4 linked regions of the Drosophila melanogaster genome follow. The protein of the gene in region 4 interacts with the protein of the main gene of each other region in a pairwise test. Each region holds a gene or a part of one and is shown on either strand. Other genes may lie near its edges. The genes, in order: CG7987, CG14881, ovo and drn.

What was found.
Region 1: the proteins of drn (region 4) and CG7987 interact in a two-hybrid assay, tested with the Drosophila melanogaster proteins (one large-scale study listed by BioGRID).
Region 2: the proteins of drn (region 4) and CG14881 interact in a two-hybrid assay, tested with the Drosophila melanogaster proteins (one large-scale study listed by BioGRID).
Region 3: the proteins of drn (region 4) and ovo interact in a two-hybrid assay, tested with the Drosophila melanogaster proteins (one large-scale study listed by BioGRID).

The regions. Positions count from the first base shown.
Region 1 is NT_033777.3:14,568,562-14,579,045, reverse strand, and holds CG7987 (uncharacterized protein), read left to right. Parts: upstream 1-3,158; 5' UTR 3,159-3,275; intron 3,276-3,986; 5' UTR 3,987-4,172; coding exon 4,173-4,498; intron 4,499-4,563; coding exon 4,564-5,320; intron 5,321-5,411; coding exon 5,412-5,836; intron 5,837-5,908; coding exon 5,909-6,623; intron 6,624-6,684; coding exon 6,685-8,313; 3' UTR 8,314-8,574; downstream 8,575-10,484. Other genes in the region: CG44094 (uncharacterized protein), read left to right, coding at 2,435-2,707; Cys (Cystatin-like), read left to right, coding at 9,438-9,622, 9,681-9,876; CG8066 (uncharacterized protein), read left to right, coding at 10,261-10,382, 10,447-10,484.
Region 2 is NT_033777.3:16,432,059-16,438,315, reverse strand, and holds CG14881 (uncharacterized protein), read right to left. Parts: upstream 3,418-6,257; 5' UTR 3,352-3,417; coding exon 3,243-3,351; intron 3,183-3,242; coding exon 3,015-3,182; intron 2,961-3,014; coding exon 2,749-2,960; coding exon of another isoform or gene 2,661-2,748; coding exon 2,289-2,660; 3' UTR 2,250-2,288; downstream 1-2,249. Other genes in the region: ema (endosomal maturation defective), read left to right, coding at 1-251, 317-523, 978-1,293; mRpS33 (mitochondrial ribosomal protein S33), read left to right, coding at 1,836-1,955, 2,018-2,239; Fntb (farnesyl transferase beta subunit), read right to left, coding at 3,800-4,031, 4,088-4,759, 4,822-5,078, 5,135-5,233; CG31279 (uncharacterized protein), read right to left, coding at 5,520-5,717, 5,776-6,201.
Region 3 is NC_004354.4:5,045,020-5,052,124, reverse strand, and holds the start of ovo (ovo), read right to left. Parts: upstream 3,853-7,105; 5' UTR 2,995-3,852; coding exon 2,583-2,994; intron 1-2,582. UniProt on the Drosophila melanogaster protein: Transcriptional regulator with essential functions in the germline and soma. Plays an essential role in regulating the formation of apical cell extensions such as denticles and aristae, and initiating cytoskeletal remodeling during epidermal differentiation.
Region 4 is NT_033777.3:9,338,285-9,345,469, reverse strand, and holds the start of drn (doctor no), read right to left. Parts: upstream 4,817-7,185; 5' UTR 4,701-4,816; intron 3,604-4,700; exon of another isoform or gene 2,979-3,603; intron 2,895-2,978; exon of another isoform or gene 2,576-2,894; intron 1-2,575.

The sequences.
Region 1 (10,484 bases), 5.2 Mb from region 4:
TTCAGGTGGTGTTGAATAGTCGAATTAATGGCATTCGCGCTGGCGAGGAATTCAAACAGATGGCATTTATAAGCGAGCAGTGCAAATGAACGGGCCACTGATAAGCGGCCAAGGAATTTGGCACAGAGAAAGTCAGCTGCTCAGTTGGGAGAAATGCTTGAATTAATGGTAGAATTGACAGGGGAAAATTGATTGGCTTATTGACAATATTAGAACAGCTCTTGTCAGGCGAATCTTTTGATATTTGCATGGCTTTTCAAATAATTTATAAAGCATTCATTAGGGAAAATGCAAATTGTATTTAATACAATTATTTATATTTTTCTTGGTAATAACTAACACACTAACCAATTGTATTTTTACAATATAAAATATAAAAAAACACACTTTCAAGTACCAGACAACGTCTTTAATTTCGAGTCACATAAATCGTAAAATCTCAATTGATTTTGCATAAATTCCTGACGAAAATAGCCCAAATTTATTCACGTTCTGAACAGTATTCACACCGATTTGACGGATTACCTTAACGGATTGCTCTCCGCAAAGAGGCAACTTTAATCCCGAACGTGTCGTGTGCCAAGCCAACAAGCGATATAATAACTTATGCGATCGGTACCGAAATACAAAATGACCAAGAAATAAAAGCAGTGAAATGCAATAAAAATATCTATGCATCAACAATTACTGGTCAGCACCAAAACAACAACATTTGCTTCGGTACGAGTGTGTGTGTGAGTGTGTGTGCGTGTGTGCGGTGCATGTGTGTGGGGCAGTGTGTGGAATATTAATTAAAGTTGCGAGCTTTGATTTCTTCCCAACGACTGGGATTCCGACGGACAAGTGTTTTGCGTTGTAAAAACAAGCGAAACACCAGCAGCCTCGAGAAGAATAAGCAGGCACTGGGAGAAAATGCGTGCTATGTTTGGTTTTTCATGAATTTTATCTTAGCTTAAAAATTTGTTATTCTAAACGTAATTTCCTTACTTTTCCATACCAAAATAGTTACCCTTAGTATTTATTTTAATAACATTAAGAAAGTGAAACATATGAGATTGCTTTCATTACTAAACCAAGAATAATTGCCACCATATAGATATGAAAACTGGTATATTAAGTCAAGATATCTTAATGGTATTCCCGTATTTTCTTTAGTGCATTTCACACAAGCGCTGAAATTCAAATTCGAATTAAACGCATTCCGGAGAAGAGCAGGCATGCAAAACGCGTAGCCCGCAGATCAGCAGCGAGATTAAAAAAGGGGGCGAGGGAGTGTGGGGGATCCCGCAGATTGCATAAATGACGACCATTTGCAACAGCATTTAGCATGTAGCATTATGAAAAGCCCTCTTTGCATTTAAGACACGCATCTTGCATATTTCGCCTTGATGTTGATCGACAGTTTGACATTTTATGTCGTCGCCGCCTGTCGAAAGGACGGCGGTTACTTTTCACTTGTTTTCAGTTTCAGTTGATTTTTGCAATGCAATGCAATGGGATTTCATTACAAAAAAAAAAAAAAACTAAGAAAAACAAATCCCATTAAAACTCACCCAATCCGACCGCTAGGTGGCGCGCTAATCTTGTTGATCCAATCTCGATTGTTTTCCCTTTTCCAGAGCAACAGAAACACAAATAGCAATGGAAACACAAACACACAATGGTAAACAAATACGGAATTCCAGTCACGAGCACTTTTCTCGACTTTTTTTTGGTTCAGTTTTTCCGCTGCACTCGGCACAGTATAAAATACACACGTATATTGGCTTGTATATTCGGGGAGACTATGGCCAACCGATCCGATCCGATCCACGCCAAAGCCAAAACGAAAATTAAATAGCCGCTGCTCGTTGGCTGCCTGCGTTTCTGTTTCTGCTCTGCCCAGCGGAGCAATAAAAATAAAAGCAGAGCAATCGGGAAACAACAACAACAACAACAACACTGGGCTGGGGGAGGGGTGGAAAAGTTTGGCGCGCTTTGGCGCTCGTTTGCATATGTGTGGGTAAATAGTGTGCTCTTTAAATTGCGGGGGTAAGAGAGAAAGTCGAAAAAGAGAGAGTGCTTTCTCTTTTGGAGAGGGAATGGAAATATCGAAATTTATATATGAACAAATCTCTAACGGGATCTTGCAGGTGCAGGATCTGGGGCGACATCTGGCGGGATCTAGCCGATTAGCTGAGTTATGGGTATCTAAGGGTAGCTTTCCCTCTTGTTTAAGTAAATTAACTTTACTATCATGTCCAGTTAACCCAGGCTAAATACTTTTTTCCTATAGGGTTAAAAATAAAATGCCCACCTCTACGCATTTACGCGAATTTAAATATTAGTTCACTCCGCAAAACACCTGAGCAAATCTTTGCATTGGCTTGACTCCAACCACAAATTTTTGAATTTATACGAATATGATTTAGTCACATATCTGTTGTAGTCCAAAATGGTCTCGATTAAGTTTATTTTGCTGTTTTTGGTCTTATTCTATTTCCAAGACGGTATTTCGGCCGTGACCTGTGATCTTGCCCCCACAGATGCCAGCTGCATAGACTGTCGGGTTTACCCCACTCACATTGAGTGCTTGCAGAGATTTTGGGCGCCAACTACAACTGCAGCGCCACTGATCGTAGCCACCACCAAGAGGTCCCGAATCGGCAGGATTCGCAACTTCTTCAGCAGTTTTCTCACACGAGTCAGAAGTAAAAGTTGGTTCTGAGATATAAGAAATTACATTTTAAAGAAAGTAAAAGAAATAAATAAATTTGCTTCCGCATCAGGAACTTGTTTGTGTTAAAGGGCGGCTTATAATACAAAACAGTATTAAAAATATTTCAAGTGGTTTCCAAAAGCGTCTGAACAAAACTCGTTTTCAAACTGTAAAGGAAGTGATTTTCTAATGAACTTAAAGGATTCATCAATATATTACTTATTCTTGATTTCTTGTTCAGCCTTTTGTTTTTCAACACGTGTTTATCAACAAATTAGTATTAAGAAAATCTATAGCAAATTTGAAATCCAATGAATAGACGCTATATTTTACAACCGCTACTTTACAGCACTTTTTGCCGTTAACATTGAACTATTTTATTGGATGTGGCATCGCCGTCGGCAGGTGGCAGCCCCCACCGAGCCGAGAATAGCAGTGGGAAGAAGAACAAGAACGGGCAACGCAATGGCAATTCCTCTTTCTCCGGTCGTTCGTGAACATTTTGCGAGAAAACTTTTCGCCGCATTTAAAAACGTTAAAGACGAAGCATGCGAACGGCATAAACACTGGATTTAAGGTAAAACAACGCAGCAACAGTACTTAGTGGACGGTAGACCTATTTAACCTCAAAATGACACCGACAAACTCGGCTGAAAATTAAAAATAAAATATTCCAAAGTATCGGCTGTGCAAGAATTTTGGGCGTGTGATGTGTGATGTAATAGCGTGGCCGCAATGGCTGTTACCGTCTGTGGCTTTTTTTCATATAAATTAATTGGCCAGCTCTTTGTTTACGTTTACGCCAAGCTTGCGGTCTGGAATATAAATAAAAACGCCGACTTAACCTCATTTATGGTCCAAATTGGTGTTTATAAGTTGGAATATTTTGCATGTAAAAAAGCTTAGACACGAACATTGCTGTCAGGATAGGCGAGTGCCGTGAGTGGAAGCGAGATGACTAGTGTGTGCGGCGGTTGGAAATCAGTGGTGTGCAAATTTTCAAGAACGAAAATGCTAGATTCAAAATATTTTATTTTATGTGCTAACACTTAACATGTCATTAAAATTGTTAGCAGTCTCAGATACATCCGTTTAATTTGAATAATTTTCTTTTTTTAAAGATACAAAAGAATAGTTATTTCCAACAATTCAATATACAAAATTTAATCTAAGTCAAAACTATGTACTATGTGTAATATTAATACAAGCATTCTTCTGACCAGTAGTTCAGTTAATTTGTATTTTGCAATTCATTATATTTTATTATCTAGCTATTTTTTTTTTAAAGTAACTATTGAATGTCATCGACCAAAGATCTGGCAACGCCGTAGTCGCTCTCCCTCTCCCACCGTCTTCGGCCTTTTTGAGCACATGTGCCACCGATTGTTGCTCGCAACGGATATTTTTGTGCCTCCCGTTTGTTTATGTGTGCAACGAAGTGAGAGAACTGCATATTTTGCAGGGCTAGCGAGTGATGAACAACCAGCGATATGGCGGCATCCAGTGGATACAGCACCACGTTTCCGCGGGCGACTCCTCCGAGGTGGACATCCTGGAGTCGGATGGTGGAGCAGGGGCCTCGGGTGAGGATCTGGACCATGTGGCGGCCGAGAATCTTATATTCATGGCCCGCGACGGTCAGCTAAGTGAGATAATGGCTGCCAACGAAGCTGGTAGAACGGTCCTGGTCACCGCCGACGGCACCACGGTGGCCTATGCGGAATCCTTCGACGATGACGCCCAGGTGGTCACCGAGGAGGTAATCACAGACGACTGGGTGCAGCACCAAGGCGCCGAGCGGTAAGTTTTGCCCTACTATGCATCTTTTGAAGTTTTTCCTATTGATTTTCTTTCCCGATTTTCAGAGTGGAGATTGCTGCCGAGCAGATAGCTGGGATTAGCAGCTCACAGGAACTGCTGGACATGGAGCAGGATGAGTACACTGCGCTGAGGCCCTATCCCTGCGACTTTTGCAGTCGGCGCTTTCGCAAGAAGGCCACCTTGAATAACCATATGCTGGCCCACCAAAATGATCGACCGCACCTCTGCAAGCTGTGTGGAGCGCGATTCTCACGACGAGCAGAGCTCATTAGTCACTTCAAGGCCCACGCAGAGGCCCAGGATGCCGCCGATGCCGAGGCAGCAGCGGCGGCAGCCGATTCGTCTTCTGCCATTAAATTCGAGCATCAGACGCAGCGGCAACTGGACGATCACTACTACGAGCAGGAATGGCCACTCTTCCAACATCAACAGGAGCAGGAAAACGCGCAACAGAATGTCCATCAACAGCATCAGATTGTGGAAGAGGGCGGGATTCAGCTGGTGGCCAGTTACCCAGACACGGTAGCTCAACCAGCAGCTCCGTCGCGAGGCAGAATCAGTCGGTTGAAGCCCAAGGAAGAAAGCAGCCAGTTCATTGTGATTTCCGACAAGTCGGTGGAGGACTCTAGGCCATACATGGAGCCTGAGCCGGCTCAGCCTGTGGTTACCACGTCGGAGTTTATTGCTGTCGAACCGCCTCCTCAGCCAAACTTTCCGGTGCTGGATCACAGCAAACCTTTTGTGTGTCAGCAATGCGGATTGGCCTTTGCGCGGGAAAAGGCACTAGTTTCACACACCAAGGTAATACTCAACTCGAAATTTTTCCCTAAAACCAGCTTAACCAGTTCATTGACAAAATCATCCACTAATTATTCCTTTTTTTCTTCGTTAGAATCACCGCGTGGACTCACCGTTCGAATGCAACCAGTGTCAGGAGATGTTCTGGGACAACAGCAGCTTGCAGGAGCACCAGAAGACTCATCAGTTCGAGGAGAGCAACTCGGAGTACGATCCTGCCTCAGCGGAGGAGAGCGGCAGTGAATCGGAGGCAGACGAGCAGTTGTATGGCGAATTCTATTGCAACGAATGTGGGATCTCTTTTCATCGCCAGGATCTACTGCGACGTCATGCCAAGATGCACTGTAAGCCATCGGATCAGGCAGCTGTTGGTAGCAATTCCGATGTCACTGCTGGCGGAGACGTGGAGCTTGCCAAAGATTCTTCTGGTCACTGTTGCAACACTTGCGGAAAGTCCTTTCCTAGCGCTTTAGAGATGCTCGCCCATGCAGAAATCCATGCTAGGTTCCCGCCCTTCAAGTAAGTTCGGTCAAATGAACTTGATCACGAGCAGAAAACCGCATTTTAAAGGCTCATTTTGAATAACTTCAGGTGCGTCCTATGCGGCATTAGCTTTTACGAGGAGCAGGCGATTAAGCGTCACCTGCACACTCGCCATCCCAGTGAATTGAATGCCAATTCCTGCGTTCTGTGCGGCAAAGAGTGCCGCGATCGCAAGGCTCTGATAAAGCACGCCTGGGACCATTCGCGCGAGAAGTGCCATTCGTGCTCCAAGTGCGGAAAGAACTTCCACAACAAAGCGCGTCTAAAGCGGCACATGGCTTCGCATCGGGACAAGTCGGTTGTATGCGAGGTGTGCCAGGAAGAATTCCCCGACGGTCGTACGCTCTCCAACCATCGACACTCGCACAGCACTACTACGCCTGGCAAGCTTTTTCCGTGCCTCGAATGCGGCAAGACATTTGGTTCGCGCAGTTCCCAGCAGATTCACGTACGGATCCACACCGGTGAGCGGCCATATGGCTGCCGCTACTGCTGGAAGGCTTTCGCGGATGGTGGTACTCTGCGGAAGCACGAGAGAATCCACACCGGCGAGAAGCCATATGCCTGCTCCGTCTGCCCACGCGCCTTTAACCAACGGGTAGTGCTGCGGGAACACATTCGCTCCCATCATTCTGGGCTGGATGTAGCGCGGAACACCTATCACTGCACAGTCTGTTCCGAAGACCTGGCATCGTCCAATGACCTTATTCAGCACCTGATCCAACACAGTGATTCAAACACAGCTAAGCAGCGACAGCCCGTTGTAAGTAAAATCCTTTGTTTCGAGAGACTTGATAAATTAAAAGAATTGAATTGTTTTTTAGACGGGACCGCGCAAGTACAAGCGTCGCCGTAAGCTACAGCCTCACGAGATCGCTCACATGCGGGCGGCGAACAAGCATGTCAACGGTGATGAGGAAGAGGCCATAGGAGAAGGCGATGCAGAGGAGTGTGCCAGTGACATCGATTTCTGCGACTTTGATGTGGAGAACGTGGACGATATCTTCGACATGGCCGAATCACCCAAAAAAGAAAAGCGAAAGAGGGGCTCGGCAGCCACAAAAGCTGATGCCAAACCCGTGACCAATGGGAAAGCGGCAAAACCTGCCCAAGATAAGGGCAAAGCTAAGCCAAGATATGATTCCACCAGCAGTCAGCAATCGGATCGCCTTTGGGAGGAAAAGTTCCTGCACGACAGTCAAGTGGCTCTGTTTCAGATCGATTCGCTGGTAGTGGTCAACGACACTCATTTGCAGCCTGCTAGCTCCGCTGTGTCTGCTAACATACCCAACACAAGAGGTGGATCGAAGCAGCAGGGAAAAGTTCAGGCGAAGTCTGTAGAAGGAGCCGAAAATTTGAATAGCTCAGCTACCACATCTGACACTACATTCTCCGCCTCCACCTCCACTGCCAGCACTCGGAGCCGCAAGAGGGCAGCAACCACTAAAACAGCCAGCAAAGCACCTCCTGCCAGTAATTCGCGACCTCGAATGATTCACACAGAGAAAGCCAAGGTGACAAAAGGAGTTGGCGGAGACTCCACTAGTAGTTCGGCAAAGAAAACGCGCTCGAAGACCTATATAAGTCGCACGGAGTCGCACAATCTGAGCCTCGACAAATCCCGCAGCAGTGCCTCAAATATGGTGGATGACTATGAAATCATTTCTCCAGCTACTCATCCGCCAAATCAGATCAGCTCCAGTCCCTTGCACATCAAACAGGAGCAGGAACAACAACAGCGTGTTCAACTTATGTACGATGATAACCTACTGATAGATGCTGCTCTGCTCAGGGAGAAGACTTATGAGAAGTTTAATCCGAGCATTGTTAATGATCTGGAGGAGATCCTCCGCTCTCCACTGAAGCACGAGAGAAATTCTCGTCTTCGCTTTACCAGCGAGTCATCCACCACGCCACAATATTTGCACGAAGAGGAGCAAAACCTTATAAAAATTGAACCAACTTCTCCGGATCTGCGGGAAATGTTGGAGGGTCAGCAAAGAGTCATCGCTCATAGCGGCAGCACTCCTTCGTCCTCTTCATCTGCTAGAACTTCCAGACATCTGCGACAAATCACTGCCAATGGTGCACGGGCAGGCAGCAAGAGAACAACAGGTGGCGTAGCCAGCAAGACGTCGGCATCCCCGGGAGTGGTGGCCAAAAAATCGAACACTGCCACCAAGGTGAGCAGCAGCAGCTCATCCTCGTACCTCTCGTACGGGGTGGATTCCTACAATGTAAACGTACCTGCCAGTGCCAACAACGGCGATGTGGGCAGCGGATTCTTTTCCATCTCGGAGGTCGTTTCCGCAGCTGACGCCGCGGATGCGGCTGCTAAAGCGGCGGCAGCTGGTAAATCGGAGCGGAAAACTCGCAGTTTCGAGTGCGAAATGTGCTCGGCCATCTTTTATGATCGCACCCAGCTGCTGGAACATGTGCACATTCACATTTAAATGGAAGCTACCTAAACCACTCGCCCGGAGCCTTGTATTTTTGAAACATCTTATCCTTATATACAAACAAAATCGGAGTAAATTACCTCAAGGTATCGTGCATCGAAAAATATCGTTGATTTATGCGTTATTTAAAATATGGAACCTAAACCTATTATAGAGAGAATAGTTCGTAAGGCTTTTAAGTTTGTACCTCAGCTTTTGTTTTGAAGAATTGGTATGCTGGAATAAATACATCATTAAATGGTTTTTCATTACCTTAAATTTTGCTATCACGTATAGATTGAATCTGATTGATAAGATGGGCTCATGTAACCTTTTCTGATGTTTGAAATCTCTCCTAGAAATCTTAAATTTTCTTGGAAACTGCGATAGTGGCATGTAATATACTTTTTATAATTGGTTAAATGTTTATAAACTTGCACATGTGGGTCTTAATACATATCGACTGACCTTTGTAGTACATACTCATAGAAACACTGATAAGAGCATACCGGAAGTCTGTGTGTAATTTGAAGCCATGATTATATGTTTTCATATGTGGTGTACGGTGACTTGTTTTCGGCTCATTTGCACAGATTTTCAATTAAAGCCGCAACTGCTAACTGAAGTAGAGATCAAAACGATTCTCACAGAAAAGCGGCTTTCGCCCATCTGATAAATCAATTAATTACCGCCAATGAGCCGTATTAGAATATAAGTAAACGATTTCATTTGCATATGCATATTTATTAATCATGGAAATAGATTCTTATTTAAAGGGGGCGCACCTTTGAATATTGACTATAAATATTTGAATATTGACTATAAATATTTGGATAGTAGCTGCGAAAATATCAGGACACGTAGATACCGTAGTTTATGTTCTAAAAAAAAATATTTCGAATCTTAAAACTATTTTTTCACTTATTTTGCCTTTCTAAGCAATTTTCTTAAATATTGTAAACCCCGAGTGAGGTTCTGGTTATTGATAGTTCTGATGATGGGCCAGTCAAGTCTTGGATCGATGGCATAGAGAGCCTATTGTATTTTTCCATTGTTGATCTCCCACTGAGATGGCAGGTATAAAATGGGCCACATCGCCGGGTGTTCATCAGTTCTCTCAGAGTCGTCGAGCGAGCAACATGAACGTAGTAAAATCTTTGTGTATTTTGGGTCTGGTTCTCGTCAGCTTGATTGCCACCCAAGCAGCCGATGAGCAGGTGGTAGGCGGTGTCAGCCAGTTGGAGGGAAACAGCAGGAAGGAGGCTCTGGAACTTCTGGATGCCACTCTCGCACAGTTGGCCACCGGAGATGGTCCCAGCTACAAGTGAGTTAGAACTGAGTTCCGAATTTAAAATTCATACTAATTGATCTGCTGATCTTAGGGCAATCAATGTGACCTCTGTGACGGGTCAGGTCGTAGCTGGAAGTCTTAACACCTACGAGGTGGAACTTGACAATGGATCCGACAAAAAGCAGTGCACCGTGAAGATCTGGACTCAGCCATGGCTCAAGGAGAACGGCACCAACATCAAGATCAAGTGCTCTGGTGACGATGGCGAACTGGACCGCACCTGGTAGAAGATTCTTCGTGAGAATTGCCCTGAAAGAAATAATAATAAAAAAAAAAACAAGATACACGTGATTTAAAAAATGATTTTTGATTAATTTTCGGGGAACTATTGTTGCAAAGTATCCAATATATTGTTGGGAAAAATAATAGGAGTGTATAAATACTTGATTTGCTTTGTTTACGTTCCGTGCTAACCAATTCCCATCGCTAGGCAATTACACACATACTATACATATACATATATAAGATACTATATATTTATTGAGATAACAACCATAGAAGCTTTCACTCCAACAAAAGCTCCAGAAGCTGACTCACAATCGGAACGGAACAGAGTGATATCATTTCATGTTTTGGTTTTGGTTTTGTTGAGTTTTGCTACTATCGCCGCCATGTCCAACGTTCCAATTGTAGGCGGGATCAGTCAGCTGGAGGGGAATGAGAGGAAGGAGGCTCTGGAACTCCTCGATGCCACCCTCGCACAGTTGGCCAACGGAGATGGACCCAGCTACAAGTGAGTTAAGGCTAAACTCGGTCTAGAGCTTGCCACTTATTAATTGATTTTACTCCAATTGAAGGGCACTTAATGTAACCTCTGTGACGGGTCAGGTCGTAG
Region 2 (6,257 bases), 7.1 Mb from region 4:
ATGTACCAGATTGCGCAACTCATCGAGATTCCTGGACAGATGGACTCTCCCGTCTACGCTGTTGGTGGCACAATGGTCGCATCCAGTAGCGGCGGAAGTGGTAACAGCAGTGGCAGCAGTTCGCGCAGTAGTCACCACCGTCCCATGTTCTCCACGGCCAATCGAGTGCCGGGATTTGCAGCGGTGCTGCGTGGAAGCAATAGCGCTGGGGTTAGTCGAACCCAGATGGCCCCGAATCGATCCATCGAAGGGTAAGTTCACGTCGGTGTGTCCTCATGTTCCTCATTTCCATCCTCATCTGTGCGTCTTCCCGCAGAATTAGAAATGAAAGCGCTGGCCGCTCCCGACGCCGCAGTCCCAGCTCAACTTCGGGCTCGAATCTTAGGGCCGATCACTCGGATCGGGAGCGATCGCCCAGTGTTAGCATGGGCAGCCACAGCTCCTCGCAGTCTCGGGAAAACTCCCAGCCCAGAAGTACTGGAAATCGGTCGCGGGAGAGCAGCCCTAGAATGCCCAGGCCGCGGTAACAATGAAACATTTTCGTTAGCTCTGTAGTCTTAGAATGGTTTCTGTTATAATTGAGATTTGTAAAGTATTGCAGTATTCTAAACTAGTCTTTCTATTTTTTTTAATTGGATTACGCCCAAGACATCAAAAAGTTTATTTTATAATTTATCGAGCTGTTTACATGATTCTCGAAATTTGCTACATTTTTGGCTCCTTGGCCAAAAAAAAATCTTTAAGATTGACTAAGTTTGCTTGTAATACCACCTTGTATAATTATGTATAAAGATATCGTTTGTCCTATATTTTTATATTTATTTGCATATTATTTTGACAAATAAACAAAGAATAGCATGCCTTTAAGCCCTCCAGTTTTATCTGTCCTCGTTATTCTATGTGTTTGTTAATTATAAAATTTACTAATTTTCACCTAATCGAGTTATAAATAAATGTGTAATATTTTTTCATTCTAGGTCGGAGGAGATTCCTCTCGAGGACTTCCAGCACTCACGGAACAACAGTCCGCACTCTCGGGGAAACCCCTCGCCTGCCTCCCGCTCACACACACCCATCCGCGTGCTCCACTACGATCAGCTGTCCGGTCATAGCGGCTCACCACGTGAAGCGTCCCTGGGGGGAACTAACGCCCTGCTAAGCCAGTTAAATGGGCTGAACCGTGAAGTGCTCCCAACGCAGAGCTCCGAGGAGACTTCTTTTATTGGGAGCGACGGAAACGAGGCCACTGGCGGATCGGAGGGCAGGCGACGGGGGGCCATAGAGACGGTTTAAGATAGACTAGAAGTTTTAGTATTACATTGGAAGCAGCCTTATGCTTAGATTGTTGCTAAAATTTTGTTATTCCAGTTGACTAATAAGGTGGTACATACTCTAATTCCTTTTCATTTTAAATAAAAACTAATTTGACGAATTTGAGCTCAAGTCTATATATATATTAGTAAAGAAGTATGTTTTTTGAACCTTCGATAATGGAAGCCACAAATTATTGTTCTAAAATGTGGGTTTCTTATATTTCGCATATGTTCATTTTTATAACAAGGTTTTACTTTTAATTTTACTGAATTGTCTATAGACGCCAGTGCTGTTTTGTAGTCAGTTTTCAAGTAAATGTTCTATAATAATCTTTAAAATAACGGTCAATACAGGTTTAAAATTTGAGGAATGTCCCTATTGTCGGCCTTTTGTGTGAATGCCAACTGCACTTGGAAATCAGCTGTCGCTTGTTTTTGTTTCGTGACATAACCGCAATTTACTAAAACTTAGAAACTTAACTTAAATTATTTCATGAAAAGCATAGCAAACTAATATTAACTATGTCCCACAAGTACACGGAGCTGATTAAGGTCGGCACGCAGTATGCTCGCCGGATGAACTACCTCTCAAATCGCATTTTCGGCGAAGTGGCTCGCACCACAAACGAGAAGTCCATGAAGGTATGTTCTCGAAATAAATTTATTAATTAAAATGTAAACATGTTTTATCCGACCTTCCCCAGGTGGTTCGCATGTTCTCGGAGGAACCAATTCACAAACGGGACTACGTGATCAACTGGTATCCGCGGCACGTGGAGACGCACTTGCTGATGAAGAACCTTCGCGACTACGGACTGTTCCGCGATGAGCACCAGGACTTCAAGGAGGAGATGAAGCGTCTGCGCAAGCTGCGCGGCAAGGCGCCTCCCAAGAAGGGCGAGGGCAAGCGGGCCTCAAAGAAGTAGTAAAATAAATATTCTAACATCCACTTTTATTGAACCAAAGCTAGTCTTTTTAGTTGCGAGTCAGCAACTTGGCGCTGCCGGCGAACACCACCTCGTCGTTCTGCCTTATATCGTACTCCACGGTGGAAATCTTGCGAGATTGTAGCAGACGTACGGTCACCACGGTGTCGGTCTCAATACGACAGGGTTTCAGAAACTTGAAATTCTGCTCTAGAACCACGGTGCCCGGACCAGGGAGCTGGGTACCCATTATACCAGCCACCACCGCGTTGAGCAGGGCTCCATGGACGCGGCGCTCCTCGGTGGGCGTTTCCAGACTATGGATGTAGTTGTGGTCGCCGGTGAACTGGGCAAACTGCTCCAAATCGCTTTGGGAAAACCGCTTAACCACTTGCACCTGCTTCACTGCTTTGCTGCTCAGCTGTCGGAACGTTTGGGGAAGCCTTTTGCAGCTGGACAACCTCTGTGCGTGTTGCGAAATCTTGCAGCAGCAACTGACAAAGTTTAACGATGCGTTCATCGTGGGCCTTGACCCGCCACTCTTGCACCGTCCTTAGCACCGCAGGGCTCAGAAGTAAATCCCGTTCAGTCCGTTCACCAAATTCCAGTAATTGGTAAAAGAGCGCCAGGCTGTGAAGTACTATTTCCGGGTGATCAGTGCGCACAAAGAGGCCGGTTAGCAGTTTTAGCTGCTCTCTGATAAATTTGGCAGCCGTTTTGTCTGCAATAAGAATATGATGAACAAGGTTGGTTTGAAAATCAAATGTTTGCTTACCCAGGCAAAGGTTACACAATGCCGCAATTCCGTGCACTTTTAATAGCTGATCCTGTGTCTCCAGCGATGCCACAAATACATCCAAGGCGTCCGCCTCCAGGAGATGCGACCAGTTGATGGGATCGTATGCAAAATTGGCCAAATTAGCAGTCACCTGCTGCTGGGCCTCTAATAATGAAAATCAAAAATGAATTCACACCGGCAAAATGACGTGAATAAAAACCTTACCGATGTTGGTTGTCGTATAATACTCATCGACCAGGTGACCAATGTACTCCCGGCGGTCAATGCCCTGGGCAGGCGTCCTCCTCTTCAATGTCCTGTGGCTGGAGAACATAAAAAGGATGCGAAGGCAAAGCTGCGATTTGAAATCAGTCCCAAAATGCCATTCACAACGCAAACTATTCATGTTTTACCATTCACATATAAACGTGCTGAAATACATTGGGGGCAAAATAATAGCTTTCGGATTCAAAGCCACATTTATAAAAGTTATTTGTTTCATCTCATTTTTTTTTATAATGAGCAATTGGGTTGTTGTACAAAATCACACATGAATTTATTTGAAAACATAATAATTTTATTTCGAAATAATATATGACATAAATATTTTTTAGAAAACGTTAAACATTTTAATCAATTCCTTTTCCAATAAGTACATTTATACAAGAAGCGAAAAATACAATATTTCAAAGATTAATTTATTAAACCAAGTTTAGTTCTTTAAAGGTAAACCACCAGCAAAACGTCCTCATTACGCAGGCTCCTCCTCCTGACCTGAAGCCTTAACTCTCCTCCTTGCTGGGACTGTCTTTCCCCAAGAACTCTGTGTCATTGGAATTGCTGAAGTGGCTCCTGGCAGCTGCAACTGACTTTGGTGGGATGTTGAACAGTGGGTGGGTAGGCAGTAGCTCGTTAATGGTGTCGCCCAGGACCTGGGGGCTGCTGGCGCACTCCGAGTGCTGGGCAATGGAAACGCCACTAAGAGTATAGCATGTGTGGTAGAGATCCTGCGGTCTGAAAATATGGGTTTTACATTAAAAAACATCACAATGTTGGCATTAATCCCTTACTTTCCGGGTTTGTCGATAAGCCCGCCGCTCTGCTTTTGGCAGCAGAGCAGGATGTACTCCTGCAGGGCCTCCACATCGAAAAGGGTGTGCTCCATTTGCTTATCGACGCCGGATAGCGTTGCCTGCGTAATGGGAATGGTGGCTCCCACCCAGAAGGAGTAGCAGCCATCAACCAGTTTGTTGGTCCTCCCTTGGAAGCCGCCTTCGTAGGTCATCTGACGGCGCAGTGTCCATTTGAGCAAAGCCTGCCTGTCGCACTTATCAGCCTCGTTGAGCAGCGCCAGGCCCGCGATTCCGCAGAAGGTGTAGCCACCATGGGCCTCCAGACCAGGGGCTCCTCCAAATCCTCCCTCGTATGTCTGACACTGGGCTATCCAGTCGCCAGTGCCGGCAAATAGCTCCTTGATCACTGGCTCGGGAAGATTTAGCAGCTTTGCGCAGGAGATTGCGCAGTAGGCGCCACGCACATCCGTCTCACCATCCACGTGGAGCCGGAAGGAGCCGTCTGAGTCACGTACACTGAACAGGAACTGGACCAAAGTCGGTCGGTCTATGGCACGGTACGCCTGCTCGCTTCCGATGATGCACAGACTGTTCACTGCTGCATAGGTGGGCGCCAGATGGGCATACTGTCCAGGTCCTCCTCCAAAACCCCCAGTCGGCGAACGGCAGCTATGAAAGAGTGATTGGAGCATTAAGGATGCCTATTAGAGAAATATCCTTCAAAGACGCACTTGCTTAGAAACTGGACCACGTGGTTCAATGTCTGGTCGTCGAAGTTAAAGCTAAGTAGCTGGGCCGCCTGCAGGATCCAGTAAACGCACCACGCGCGACTGCTGTCCAGGCACTCGTAATTGGACGGCAGCCGCCTCAGCATCGCGTCCAGGTAGTACTGGTGCTCCAGCCGGAAGATCTGGGTGAGGCGCGGGTCGGTGAACATTATCTGCTCGAAGCGGTCGAAGCATTTCTCCACCGAACTCTCCGTCTTTTGCTGCAAGTATTCATCGGCTCTTATCTTTTCCTGGGCGACATTCGGGGATTACTCACTTGCTCGCGGGATGTGGTGGTGGACACCTTCTCGTCGTCGAAGATGTAGCTTTTCAGGCGCTGGAAGTTGCGGAACATCAGCTCCTCCTCGGTTCCCATTTCTACTCCGAGCCGGTTAAATTAAATTAAATAAACTAAAAAGATTTGCCGAGCAGGAATTTTAAGCGAATGGTTTTTGTTTGTGTGATGTAAATTCAACTTGCAACACTGCTTTTTATTTGATTAGGGTATTCCCTATACAAAAACTCGATTTATTTTCCTTTGGCTAGATATTAAAAAATTTTACATTTTAATAATTCATTATTTCCAACATTAAAGCCAGTAATATACAATTAAATATTTATAAAAAGACCATAAATTCACATTTAAAATTCTTAAAACTCGGTTATCGATGTGACATCAAACTTTCTGTGGTGACGAGATTGTAGGCGGTGGATTGAGAACTGGAGTCCAACATAAATGTCTCGGGTGCATCGTCACTAGTCCACAAGCCATACAGTTCCATAAATCCATAGACAAATAGACACACTATAAAATAGGCCGTCAGAGTGGCGAAAACCTGAAACACAATTAGCAATAAGATCTGCAATAATTGTATAATATAAATTTACATTGTTCGGGCACCGACATCACAAACTCACGAAAAAGCTTCCTCTGAGAATCAGGAACAGCCAGCCCTTCCAATCCAGCTTGCCGATCCACGTGATGAGGGGTTCCGATCCCGATGAGACATTTTGTGGACTGGGATCACCTATGGCACCGATTTCTCCGCCTTCCCCCCAGCTATCGCTCCTTAAAGGAAGATACCAGTCGTAATAGAGCTGCGTTAGCATGGGCACCTCAAATGGCGATTTTTTCTTGATTTTCTTCTCGATTGTGGGTTCAACTGCGACCGGCTCGGACTGACCATCCTGCAAATGCTGAAAGCAGTCGTTAAAATCGGCCAGGGTTAGCTTACGCAAATTGTCGCAATCATCTGACTTCTCATGCTTGGAATGGACAAAGTGCCTTGTTGGCCTGGTATTTTTCTTGTAAGGAAGCGCTTTGTTGGCTTTCGGCTCATGCTGCTAAACGGTAAGATTAATTTAGTATATAAAAATAATAGCTTGATAGAAATAGAAAA
Region 3 (7,105 bases), on a different chromosome or scaffold from region 4:
ACTTTTGCTTTTGACTCGTCGTCGTCTGTGTTTATTTTTTTTTTTTTTTGGTTTTGTTTGAGATGGTGAGTGTTGTTTGGAGAGGGTTCGCTGAACTTGTCTCTGGAGAAGGGTCGCGAGGTCTTTAAGGGAACCTTTCGCTAACTTCCGCTCGAGGATTGCAACATCTGCGTGTAAGCTCTGTGTGTGCAATTGAACTTGCAGTTCTAACAGCTGCAGAATTTGCATTGATCGCTCTCCTTTATTTTTGGAAATTTCCTTATCGCCGATCGGTCGATCAATGAATTTCCTTTCGGTTATTTATTAACTTTTACTAGTGGCCCGAGAGAAATTCGCGGCATAAAGATCGCTGACTGAAGATAGAGGAAAATGTAACAGGAAGTTATGCTCATAACTTCCAGCTGTGGCGGGCGAAGAAACTAGGAGGAATTCTTGTCCATATATGCATGAAGTTCAGTTCGGTTCGTTTTGGTTCGGTTTGGTTCGCTTTTCTCGAGCATCTTGGTTCGCATTTTGCTTTTTCTCCTGTAGCAATGTTCATCCTCCAAGGCCCTTTAGCATTTCACAAGCTCTGTTCTTTTGCCTTTCCTGCCTCTTCTGGTGAGTTTCTTCTCCCCAGTCTTCAATTCGACTGGTTCTACAAGTTTTATTATGGCCAGTTGCCTTGACTTTGCTTAGGCCAAATGGCAGACGACGTACCTACAATGCACCCCACCCAACGTCCTCATCCCCAAACCACCTTCTCCTGCTCCACCTCCTCAACTGAACTTGGCTCTCATGATCGTCATGATGATCTTCTTAGTCATTGTGTGTAGTTGGAACTTTAGCTCAAGTCTAGGCTGCAAAACCAAACAAAATGAAGTTCTTTTTCTGCTCCGCACTCTTTTCTTTTTCTTTTTCCGTTTCTTTTTGCTTTGGCTTTGGTTCTTCATCTTCTGGCAAAACTTGTACTTTTGCGTGGTTGAGAGGAGATTTTTTCTTGTATCTGGCTTTTAGTACCTTGTACTTTGGTAGTTATATAATTTTTTTTTTTTCGTTCGTTCTAGCTTCGCTCTAGTGTGTGAGTGTGCGCTCAAGTGTGTGAAGTTCTTGGCCATGGGCACAGCCCACTAAAGCCAAGAAAAACACGAACAGCGAGCGGTAATTGAACAAAAAAAAAAAAAAGTGAACAAGCAGTGTGACCAGAGGGTTCTTTGAAATCAGAGCAGCATGAGAACACATGTTTAGAGTGCAAGACCTAAATAATATTAAATCCTGCATAGATTGATCAAAGTTGGAACTTAAAACTTCAAAGTGTTAGTTATGAAGTTATGCGAATCCGATGAGCTCACCAACTTCTGTGTAATTCTATCCAATTTAAAAATTTTTTCTTTGAGAATATAACGTTGCGAAACGATTTCCCTTCAAATAACTTCCATTACAATATCCGCAGAACTCATAAAAATTATACAGCGGAAGCGTTCATAATACATTTTTAAGTGGATGGGCGATAGAGATGATGAAGGGAACTTGGTTGGCTTGGCGATAAACCGGGAGGAACCGAGAACGTAACATGTTATTTAATTTAATAAATGTTGTATATAGCACTCAACTACGCGCTCCGTGAAAATAATATATATAAGCTATAACCATGAAATATAATGCCTGCGTAAGGGGCAAAATTATGAGGCTGCGTGTGAGAGAAGCTACTCTTGAAGTGAAGTCGAGCCATAATGGTTGCATAAAAATATAGATATAATTAAGGCCAGACAAAGGGCAGTTAAAAAATGCTTAGAAACAAAAGACTTTAGCGAAAAAAAACGCCAAAAGAACGCTGAACGAAATTCACTTTCAAATAAAATCGAAAAGAACTTAATTAATAAAACTCGCCCCGAAAACGAAGAAAGTTCTTCTCGCCTAATCATTTATGAAAATTTTAAACCTTTAACCTAAGACCACCGCCTAAATCGAAATGACTTAATAAGCATGCTGGGCGATTATATAACAGAAACAGACAGAAAATAAAAAGAAAACTGAAAACAGAAAACAGAGATCAGAACAGAGACATGAGAACTCTGCTTGGCTTTTTTGGCAAAATAAAAAAAAAAAATAAATAAAACGAAATAATACGCTTACGAAATTCAATGAAAGTGATTGATGTCGAAGTAAACCCATAGCTCCGTTTTGGAGAATGGAAGATAGACAGGGCAGATATAGATACAAAGATACAAAGATACACTGGGGACGAGTTCGTTATGGTGTGGGCGAAAAGCAATAACAAAAGCTGCCCAAAAGTGAAGCTTGAAATTTGAAAAGATTTCCAGGCAATAGATATGGCGCATTGTATTGCCAGCCGATTTGCCATCGGCCAAAAAAAAAAAAAAAAACTGACTGACAGATTTGTAGCAATTATTTATCCAAGTAAATTAAAATTCTTTGCGTTGTTCTTTGATATTTTGTGCTTCGAGTATTCCAAACAAGTAACAGAACGCATTTATGTGACAACGGTTTGGCAAACGGAAATTTAATCGCTCCTAAAGGTGTATTTATGTATAAGGCAGCGAAAAGATTTTTAGACTCTGTTTTAGAAAAGTTCAACTTACCATTTTGAACTTGGCCAGTGGCGCATTCGACTTCCAATTCCGCAGGATTTTGTATTTGATTGGGATTTGCATTTGCATTTGGATTCGGGCTCTGATTTTGATTGAGATGATCGAGACTGTGGCGCGATTGTCCGAAGTAGTGACGACGATGGTGGAATCGTTTGCGCGTGAGGCTCAGTGGCTGTTGATCTGAATCGGGCACCTGTCCGAGCACCTGTTGCCCCTGACCTTGCGGTTCCGGTGGTGGTTGGGATGTGGGCGTTGGCGAGGGGCCGCTACCACTCCCACTTGGACTGAGGGGCGGCACCAAGCGCTCATCATCCTGATTCTTGTGCTGCAGCAAGTTTTGCGATTCAAGCAAGCGCTGTTGCTGCTGATGCAGGCGATTTTTGATCAGGAAAATCTTCGGCATGATGGATTATCGGTTGATTTGCGATGAACGATAAGCGATTTAACGAAACGCGACGGCGACACGCGACGAATTCAAGGAGGCGACGAATTTCTTCGTATTTTCAGGTGGACGAGGGACAGTTACAGTGGGTCCGAAATAAACAAAACACTAATCCAATTGTGTGTGTATGTTTGTTCGCCGCTCGTCCACTGTGTTGAAAAAAAAAAAATTGCTTGATTTCAGTTTTGATTTGGTCATGAGCCGAGCTCAAGTTAACTTCTGTTTTGCCCTCTTCATGTCTTTTGAAAGTTCTTCGGCTTTGCAAGTCAAAGTCAAGTCAATTATAATTGAGGGATTGTTTTGGGGTGTCCTTTCGTGATTTTGTTCTTTGGTTCGAGAATTTTGCTTTGTTTTGTCAAAACACTTCGAAAAAATGTACTTGAAAAATATTGCCTTTTCGGCAGTGTCGAGTCTTGGTTCTTTTTTTGAAAAATCAATTTTTTTTTAAGTTTTCGGTGACTTGTCGAAAAAAGTGTTGATTTTTCCCCCAAGTTTTCAAAAAAAAAAAATATTCGGTTATGAGAAATTTTTGTTTTTCCCAATTTATTTTTTGGGTTTTCAAACACTTGTTGGGTTCTTGATTTATTTGTGTTATTCAGCGCACTTGTAAAAAATATTACTCAAAAAAAATTTTGTTTCTGTTTTGTATGGATGTAATTCAATATATTACTATATTGATTGATGCACAACACAGTGTTTTCGTTTTTATAAATTGTATTGTTTTATGTGAGTTTAATGGTTTGCTTTGGTCTTTGGGATTCGCCCAGGTGAGTTAAGCGAAAACACGTGCATTCACAACGCCGGCTCGCAACTTACTGTATTCGAGGTAGTCAGTTAGGCCAAACCAAAGTCAACCGATCGATCTCGCCGCTACAACAAACTCAGTTAGACGGCGAATTTAAAACACCGTAAATCGAGAGAGAGAGAAAGAGCGAAACTTCCCTTTCGTATGAGTCAGAAAATAACGAGATATTCGCCGTTGCTCAGGTGAGAAAAACAGCGGCGAAACGGCGAACCAAGCGCACCTGTGTGAGAGAGAGTGAGAGTGTTTTGTGTGCGTTGCCTCATTTCGCTCACATAACGTTTCTCATGCAGTTTCGCGCTCTCTCTCTGTCTCTCTGACGCGCCCTCTCTTTCCCTCCTCAGAGTCAAGGTAGTGATGATAATGATGATCACGCTCATGATCAAGAATCTTCGCCTTGGCCATTTGCCGGCTGAGATCGTTTTTACCCGATACCGCGAGCTGTACTTGTGGTACTTAGAATTTGGTTGGATTGGCAAATTAATAGAAAATTTAGAAAAATTTCAATATAAATATTTATGTTCCGGTCATTTTTTGTTAATTTTGTACTGTACTTTCGAACTAAGGACTTTGTATTTACAGCACATCTTAAAATAATTGAATTAAAGCTAAATTTAAATAGATATTTTTCTTAAATGTTCTTAAGCCTATCAATAGATATCAATTATTAAAACGATTTGTTTAAATGAAATAGTTTGCAAATAATGTTTTTAAATATCCTCCTAATTATAATTAAATATTCTGGCTAGTTTGTTTCCTAAGTCATTTGATTTTCGATAAAAAGAACCCCAAAAAAGGAGGCATGATTGTGGCCCTTGAAGAATTTCATCATTATTATATCTGTGCGAGTGTGTTTGTGTACAACGATGGAAAGAGAACCGCGGTAAATACAATAAGAAGAAATAACGAGCCAAATAAGAAGAAGCAACAGCGGCAAGTAAGATGGAAAAATGTACCCATATAAGCGAAATTAAACGGCAAAATAGTTGGCAACGCAGGCATTTCTCGCTCTCAGGTGTGCGTCTCATTCTCTCTCTCTCTCTTTCACCAGCTCTCTCCTTCCCCTAAATCCTTGTGCGCATGCGTTTGTATGTGTGAGAGAAGATCGCTTAGAATGCGCTTAGAATGGCAAATAAGAAGGCCTAGCTCCATCTCTTTTCAACCCGCACAGGTGCGCTGCCAACGGATAACTAACGTTATTTCACCGACACACACACACACATGGAGAGCAAGTGATGTAAGCGACGGCGAATTCAGAGCGTCGCACACCTGTGTGGCACACACACTCATATACATACACGCACGCATACGCTCTTTTGCGGCGACGTAACAAATTTACAGCTAACTTTGAGCTGGTGTGCGGAGGTAGAGAGAGAGAGAGCAACGAGCCGAAGGTAAAAACGAAGACGAACTCACGTCCGAAACTGAAAACGAAGCCTCGTTCGCAGGTGAGAGAGGTGCACCATAAGAAATTAGTGCGCTGCCCCTTCAAAACTTAATAGAATAATAACATAAAACTGAGGATCAACTTAATCCTTTTTTTTTTTAATTTCATATCAAGTTAAAATTTTAAGAAATAACACATTTTTAAAATGTTGGCCTCTGATTGAAAATAATCGGTAGAATTTGTAATTCAATTATCTGAAACTCATTTTATTTCCGTGCATCGATGTGTATCGCGAGAGAATTGGAGAAAGAGCGGCTCTGAGAATCTGAGGCCGAAGTGGCAGGCACAGAAAACCTGTTGCTAACTTTGGCTTTGACTGTGACTTTGCCGTTGAGGCAGCGGCAATGTTAATGTCATGATGTTGGCGTTAGTAGAGGTTTTCCGTTGGCTCTTCTTCTTCTCGGTCGGTGGAGCCTTCTGAAGAACATCCCCCCCCCCTGCGTTGTTGTTGCTGCATTGTTCCTGCGCCAACTTCACTCTCACTCAAAAAGCCGCTCGTTGGCCAAAATGCAAGTGTTCTGGTCCAGAACGAAAATATGCACAGATTTTGGTTGTACTAAAAGATTTGATTATATGTACATTGTGTACATAGAATGTTCTTGAAAGCGAGAATTTGTATTATGTCTATATATTTTTTGCAAATAGTTCTATACGAAATAATAATTGATTTTCTTTGATTTATTTTCAGAATCTAATTGAAACCCTTGCAGATAAAAAGTAAGTTAAAACTCTCAGCGAAAATTTAAAATGCAACTAGTTTAGTTTAAAGCTTTATTATTCTAAAATGGTTATTGAAGCGACTATAATATAAGCCCAAAGTTCAGATAGTGGATCGAGATCTCTAACCAAAAGCGAATCTCAAGTTCTTGATTGCGAACCCAATGAGAATCGAGCTGGTTTTTGTTGTTGGCCCAGACCTAGGCCACCAAAGGTATAGACCACGACCGACACTGCTTGCCAGATCCATATATATATATATATATCTTGTCTATATGTATACATCTATACCGATGTACGTAAGTGTGGAATTGCACATGGCAAGTGTGTGAGTGTGTTCACTGGGCTGTTAATGCCTTGACTTTGGCTTTGGTAGTTGGGTTCTTGTTTAGGTTGGGTGGGGTTCGTTCCAAGAAGGGGGCGGTATGGGCGTAGAAGAGGGCCCACGGAGCCAACAGAATTTTCTCGTTGTTAGTGTCTGCATCTTCTGCTCCACGGGCAGAGAGACACCCCCCCCCACCCCTCTTTGCCCGCCGTCGCCCATTTCGCTGGGTAATTGCTGTGTTTAAGAATGTGTTCCTTTGGGCCTCAATGCGCTTGGATCGTTCGATCTCATTCACTCCTTCTTGGCTGGTAGTTCTTGCCATTGTGCGATGGTGTTGTACACTCGAAAAAAATGATCAGTAGTGTATTTTTGATTTATTTTGATATATCAAAGTGCAGAAATGGGTAAAATGTCTTGTGTTTATTAGTTTGGAAAGCCAAAGGTGCGTTGCCAAGCAAAAGTCGGTTTTGCATAATTTAAAAAGGAAACAATTGTTTAGATTATTTAAAAAAAAATAATTCAAATAAAATCTTGAATGGAATGTATGGAAATAGTTTGGCGATCTTTTTTCTATTGTTTTTTTTTTTGTTTTTTTTTTTATTACAACTTTTTGTTGGTTCTTATCTTTATTTGCTCAATTGTCGTCATCGACGGCGACTCGCTAAAATAATGCTTCAAGTGAAGCAAGAAGCAGATAGCCAGCCAGCCAGCCCATTGTGGTGGTAAAAAGAGCAAAAGCAGCAGCAGCGGCAGCAGCAAAAGAACGTAATCATCGCGATGA
Region 4 (7,185 bases):
CACATGTATAAAATACAGATAATTTATTATTTGACCTAAATATACTGGCGGTATTTTTGTTTTTCAGCTATTTCCGTTTTGCTTTTCTGCCAGACAATAAACAAAACATATAGAAATTTATTTATGTATACCAGCGATGTCTTTCACATTAGATAAAGAAAATTCTGTGAATAAAGTACATGTGTCGAAATTGATTGATGAAGAAAAGAAAATTTATACAGATACCAAATTAATTTACATTGAAATCTATGCCCGCATTTGGACGCGGTAATTGTGCTCCCAAAAAAAGCCGATATATGTGCATTCTAAATGCCTATTTTCAATGGGATTTAATCAAGATCGAAATCGAAGCAGTACAGTCTGTCCCCAAAAGAAACAGCTGCGGTCATTAAATTAGTATCGCTTGCTTGATAAAAAAAAACCACCATGTAATGTTTTGTCTTTCATCTATAATTCAAGATAAATGATTTTAAAACAAACAACTTTACGAAAATATTAAAAACTTTAAATTCTATTAGTATTTCGATCACAACTGTTATTCTAAAGGGACCGACAGACAAAACAAAATTGCATAACTTAAAACGAGAAAAAAAGACAAGAGAGAAAACAACGACAGCCGACAAAAAGAAGATCAAGTATAGGGGATTAGAGTGCTAAAAATAGCGCTATGCACAAAACATTTCGAAAACGGCAAGCAAAGATAATGAAAGGCCCGAAATGTACGAGCCGATCCGAAGTTTTCGATCGTATGCCCGGCCATATGGTGGGTGGATGGTCGGCATCGGGTTTTTTGGGCGGTGTACGGGTGCACGGGTGTGCGGCATCCATTTACACGCGACCTATAACCAAAGAAAACAACTGAAAATGAGGCCGCGGCCGTTCACGCGTCCAACGGTCTCGTTCGCTTATCAATTTTTACTTGTTTATATAAAACCATTTAGCCACAACAAAAAGTAAAGGTAGAATAAAACGACGAGGGAAATGAAAGGCAGGGCTGGTTTTATATACGATACATACATGAGAGTGTTGGTATAATTTGTTTGTTTTTATGTATATTAACACAATTCGAAACGAGCCGTCATCAAAACAAATTGTTTTTGTTTTTCAAACGACCAAAACTTGTTTGAACGAACGCGCTGCTTTTTGTGTGTTTTTCGCGAGAACATACATATTTATATAATTTTAGATATTAGCGACAACGACACGTGTTGTTGTTGCTCAACTTGCCAAGAATTATAAGCGATTTTTGCCAACAAGGGGATTAGTCATCCGGGATCGGGAAAGTTCTCAAACAATCGTGACAAACAATATCGATCCATGAATCACTAGCGTGATAAGCAAATACTATTTCAATCTATGAACTTTGATAAAAAAAAAAACAAATCAATTAAAATAATCGCTGCTTAAGAACAATTCCAATTTAGAATTTGTTGTATTAACAATTCCATTTAACAAGATTTTTACTTAAAGTTTTTAATTCGGCGTAGAAAAACCAAATTTTACGTTGCCAAACTTAGAGGAATCCACCTTGAAAAGTGCTTAAATTTGTTCAAGTGTTTCCTACTCGATATCATCGACTATTTGACTCGCTCTTTCTGATTCACTCAAAAACATTTTTGTTTACCGAACCAATCACAAATAATTAGCGCTTGATTCGTTTCCTATCTTTTTTTCACTGTTATCTCGACGAAAATTCGACTGGAAATGGCGAAATAGACGGCAGAAATTTCAAGAAAGTCGTCATTTCGTTTAATTCCGTCACTAAAAGTGCTTGATTGCCGACTATAATCAAAATGTGCATATGCCAGAAAACGTGCCTCTAGGTGATACGAAAAAACGAGATAATTCTTTATGTAAAGCGTCAGCACAGAAAAATACGAATGCAAAGGAAAAAAACTTATACCGAAAAAAAAAACACGAGCAAATATGTACTTTTTATAATTGTTACAAGGTGAGCTGGAGTTAACGAAAAAGAAAAACAGCAAAAAGGCAAGTGAGTCACCAAGAAAAGTTGGAAAAACAAAGTCAGCTGGGCGACTGTCCAACAATCAGGGTTGCCATCGCAGCCAGAACCCCCTATGCACTCGCCGATAAGAACCGTAATCCCAAATCCGTAGATAATTCGAACTCGTCTTGCTTTTATGCGGGTCTATGAGTCATACGAAAGAGTGAGTGAGCAAAAAATTCAAGTCACGCACTGCAGGCAAAAATAATATTAAAATTGTGGAGTGTGCAGATAAAGATATTTCTTCGGTCACTGCGATAAAGAGGAAAATGTTATTTAAATTTGGAGATAGCTGAAGGGTATATACACACAAATGCACGCACATGTATATACGCATATCACTATGTGCATGTTTGTACTTGAGCTATCAGTCATTTATTTTTCACTTATCAGCAGAGACGTCCTTCGCTTCAAAGTCTACATTTTGTGGTTGGGGTTTTGGTTTTTGGCAAGTCGTAATATTTTCTTGGCAAAGAACTATAGAAAAAACTTGAACAGCTGCACTGAATGAAATGAGATTAGGGATTCATATTCTTAATGCATAACATTGTACTTGTTCCTTCTGCTTACACTTCGTTAACTGCTGTTAACAGTATATTCTTCAAGAAATGTGGAAACTATTTCATTTTTTAATTAATTTTTTTATAATTTAAGTATTTAAAATTTAGTTTTTATTTTGAAAACTCAAAAATGTAATTTAAAGTCAATTCCCATATATTTTGTATGGCATTTTCTACTATTTATTTAACTGCTATTTATTTATTGTTCCTGTCTTCGTAATTCGCGCGACATGGCAACGCTAGTCTAAGCACACACACGACAAAGTGACGTAGGCGAGCCCGTGTGTATTGGTGACTGTGGTGAAGAGAGAGAGAGCGTGGGGAATCGACTAGTGGTGAGTAAGCAACGTAGGCGAGCGAAGAGGAAAATGAAATAAATTATAATTTTCTTTTTCTCATTTGAATTCACTTACTTTTTCAATTCGTTGTGGGTGGAAATTACACAGGCTTGAATCAAAAACTTAGAGCTTTGTTCAAATCACAGTAGTTGGAAATTTTTATGTGTTATGTTGGTCTCGCAGAAATTCAATTGGTTGCTAGTAATTATTTTAATTTTTTCTTTAACAGAGAATTGCACAGGGATCGTTGAAGAAGGAGGAGGGCAAAAATATATCACAAAATGGTGCACGACGCAGTTGCTTTTCCTCGTTTTTCCTTCGTTTCAAGTGGCGAATTACGGTTTTTTCTGCAATATTACAGGATTTTTTTTCTTCTTTTTTCTTATGCACAACGCACACGACTGCGACGCTGCTGCTGAGCTGCGTCCTGCGGTTTTTCTCAGCTGCAAGAGGAAAACGCTGCCAGTTTTCCTTTTGCTTTCCTTTTTAACTCGTTTCTTATTAATCGCGGAGCGCACTAACACGACCGAGAGAGAGGGAGGGGAGCGCGGAAAAGTGATTACTTTATTATCTAGTTTAGTTAGCAAGGCGCTGACTGGGCTGACGATGACAGTTGTGGGTAATTGAAGCCAAAAACCAACGTGGATCTGATCCTCCAAACGCGAAGTGAAGTCTCCAAGCACTCTAACAGAAATGAGCGGACCTCGCAACGCTTGATGACTGCGACTGGCGAGCTAACAGAGCTCTGTTGGTGGCAATTTGGTGATGAGAGCGTGAGTCTGTCACTCAACTTCTCCGGTTGAAAGCAGTTAACAATACCAGGAGTATGTAGGATTGAAATGATCGAAATGATTATTATTTTCAATACATTAGCTATAAAAGAAACACTTATTTATATAAAATCGAATACAATGTTTGTTTAAAATTATTTTCAATTTGTATTTTCTCCTCTTGACAATAAAATCAAACGCAAATTGGACCGAAATGTATGTAAAATAAAATTCTTATCGTGACACGACGTAACATAAACTCATGGTCTCATCTCTAGCCCAAACGAGCGCTGTTAACGCAAAAAGAGCGTTGATTGCTGGTGTGGTGAGAAAGTGGTTAGGAAAGGGGAATGAAGGATGACAGGCTAAAAAGAAATCGCCAGTCAACGGAGAGAAGCCATGTAGGAAATAAATTAAATGTGAACCGAGCAAAGATGGTCGAAAATGCGTATTTCCAACGAAAAACACCACGCTATGTTAGCCCAACAGTGCAAAGTGCACACACAATAAGATTGTGGAAGGGGAACAGAGGGAGACAAGAGACAAAAGACCAATGCAACGATAGAGAGTCAAATTTATATCGAGTCCCTGCCAACAAACCAAAACTATTTCCGCTTACTGGGCGTTTCAAGAAACCTTCAAACGCGCTTTTAATAATCTTTATGGTTTTTCGTATGACTTTAAATTGGGCGACGACATAATTTCGACGACGCCATATTGTTCGCCAGCCCAAAGAGAGCTACAGCGTGTTAACAGCCGCAGAGAGCGAAACTGCGCTGCTGCGTCATCAATGCAAACTGCGCACTTTTTAAAAAAAATAATTTTAATATCAATTTCTATGCGTTCACCGAACGGGAAACAAAAGTATTAATGTAGAAATCGCCTAGCGTATGGCGATTGCTTTGTCTTCCCCAATAGTAATCTTTTTGATAACAGTGCCATATTGTGAAATGGCTGTTGGCTGGCCGTGGTGAGTATTTGCCGCAGTTTAACAGGCCTGAAATTTGGTTTTCCAAATCACCCTTACCAAGAGAATGTCCGTTTTGAGGTGCACTTTGTCCAATTTCATTACTGATGTTTCAGAACATTTGTAGTCTAATTTCGTGTTTTGTCCTTACTGAGAATGGAATGAAGCACAAAAGCTTAGTGTTGATTAGCTCTGAAATGCAGTGCTAATAAAAATTATACAGCACTGAAAATATGATTGCCCAGTTTTTGCTCATTACATTCTTTTTGTCTATTTTGTATATATCTAATAAATAATACTTAGAATGTTAAATACAATTTAGGAAATATTATTTTCAATAAATTCATGCATACATTTATTAAATATATATTAGAGGGTATCGTCAATCCGACCACGCTTTCACATCGAAATGTTATTTTGTTGCGATCACTCGCAAAGCAAATGTAAAATCAAAAGCAAATTAAAAAGTCAGAGTGGGGCTAAGAATTCGCTTAATTAGAGGTCATAGGCTCCAATGAGATCGTGTTCATATAAATAATATAAAATATCACTTACGATCCGTAGATAGATACCAGTTTGTAAAGTTTCTCGACAAATATTTCAGCTATCAAAGGTCGCACCTGCCTACGAAATTGGTTCTGCACTAGCCTTGTTGTGATGACAAACAAGCCAAAATAAAAAGCAATAAAGAAAAAAAACCAACCAAAAATAATAACAATTTAAATGAACAGACAGTAAAAATACGCTAGTGCTAACGAACTTTGTAAACTTAAAGGCAAGGTTGCAAGCAGAAAAGCTCCAAAATTATGCGAGACGTACAAAGGCAAACTTAAAAGCGAGCGATACTAAATACTACGTAGTATAAAGTCGCTGAGCGTTAAAAATAAAATATCAGACACGCAACAGCGACGGCTGCCAGCAGTGTTTTCTATAGAAAACGAAAATTATTTCCTGTTTTCAGCAATAACAACCGCGCGTGAGGTGGAAAACGAAAATATTGCCCTGCAGGCGGAGATAACAGAGTTGGGGGTGTCTAACAGTCGTGGTGAATCCGAAACGCATTTGGCCATTGCATTGCAGTTTGTTTACCATCACGTATTAGCCACAAACCTTATAGAGTATGTACATACACATACATACATGTGTATGTATTTATACGTATACCCCGTAGCTTGCCCCATGAAGTTAAAACGACGCAGTTGTAAGAGAAACCAAGACGAGGCGGAGATACAAAGGGGCCTCAAACAATGCGTAAAAAAGGTGATTGATAACAAGGTGCGCCTTACAAATGTTCACTGTCTGCCCTCCACGAGCAATACAGAAATTCGTTTAGACCTCCAATCCATACGAAATTCTCTGCGCTTATCTATTTAAATGCTCTGATTTGGGTAATAGATTTGTATAGATTTGTATGTATGTATGTACATTGTAGCAGAATTTAGCGAGACTTGCAGTATATAAACGTACATAATAATTCCCTTTTTATTGCTTAATAAAAAGAAGCAACTATCTACATAACTCTTCATTTACCTTTAATTTTAGCAATTTTTGGTAAAACATATTACTTATTTGTCACAGTGTCTATAATTATGCTGATACAATTGGAGCTACAAATAGAGGGTGAAACGTTTTTCGTGCACACAGTTGCACTTTATGTAAACATGTGGGCACACGCACAAGGTTGCGGAAGAAGAAAAAGAAGTGCATTGTGCAGTCGAAAAGGAGAAGGAGCAGAGAAAGAGGGCTAAAAGGACAACCATAGAATGAGGGAGCAGACAAGCTTGGTGTATTTTTGGCACACTATCGCCCCCTGTAGCTACCTCTCTTTCTCGCATTCGCTTATACCATTTCGCTGTGGTGCATTCAACCTGCTGGTGAGAGAGACAGGTGCACTTACAGTTCCTCGCGATCAACAGCTGTGTGAGTGATTGCGAATCGGGCAATTACTTAACTGCGTTTGCGAGATAGGGTATCTTAAATTAATATTGTTACAAAGTATTGGAGCTGATAGGATTTCATATTTTATTGTATAGTTTCTGTACTCCAAAATATTTATATTTTCTATAAGATAACTTTCAGTTGGAGCATACTAACTTTCGTATATGGTAACGTATAAACATGATCGTAACTAAATTTCGCGTAAAAAATATATTAAATGATGATGATGAGCAATTCACGTGAACAGAGAAGGAAGGCTAACACTGGACTCGGAGACAACGCAATTTGCTGAACTTTAATGCGTAGCAAGCCAAATCGAAAAATGCAGTAAACAATGAAACATTGCTAACGGCCCACCCTCCATCGTCCCCATCCCCGCCCCCTTTCCGAGATGATTTGTTATTGTTGGCCTGGCTTACACGGGGTTGTTGTTGCTGCGTAGCTTGGTTGTTGCTGGATAAGGCAGCGGCGCATGCAACAAATTGCGTTCTACCAACAACAGAAACAACGGCATTCAGAGATGAGAGACAAAGGACCATGGGTGGATATTTTAAGCAAGAGTACTGTGTACTCCAATGGCACTTCCAAAAACGTTAACTAATTCGTT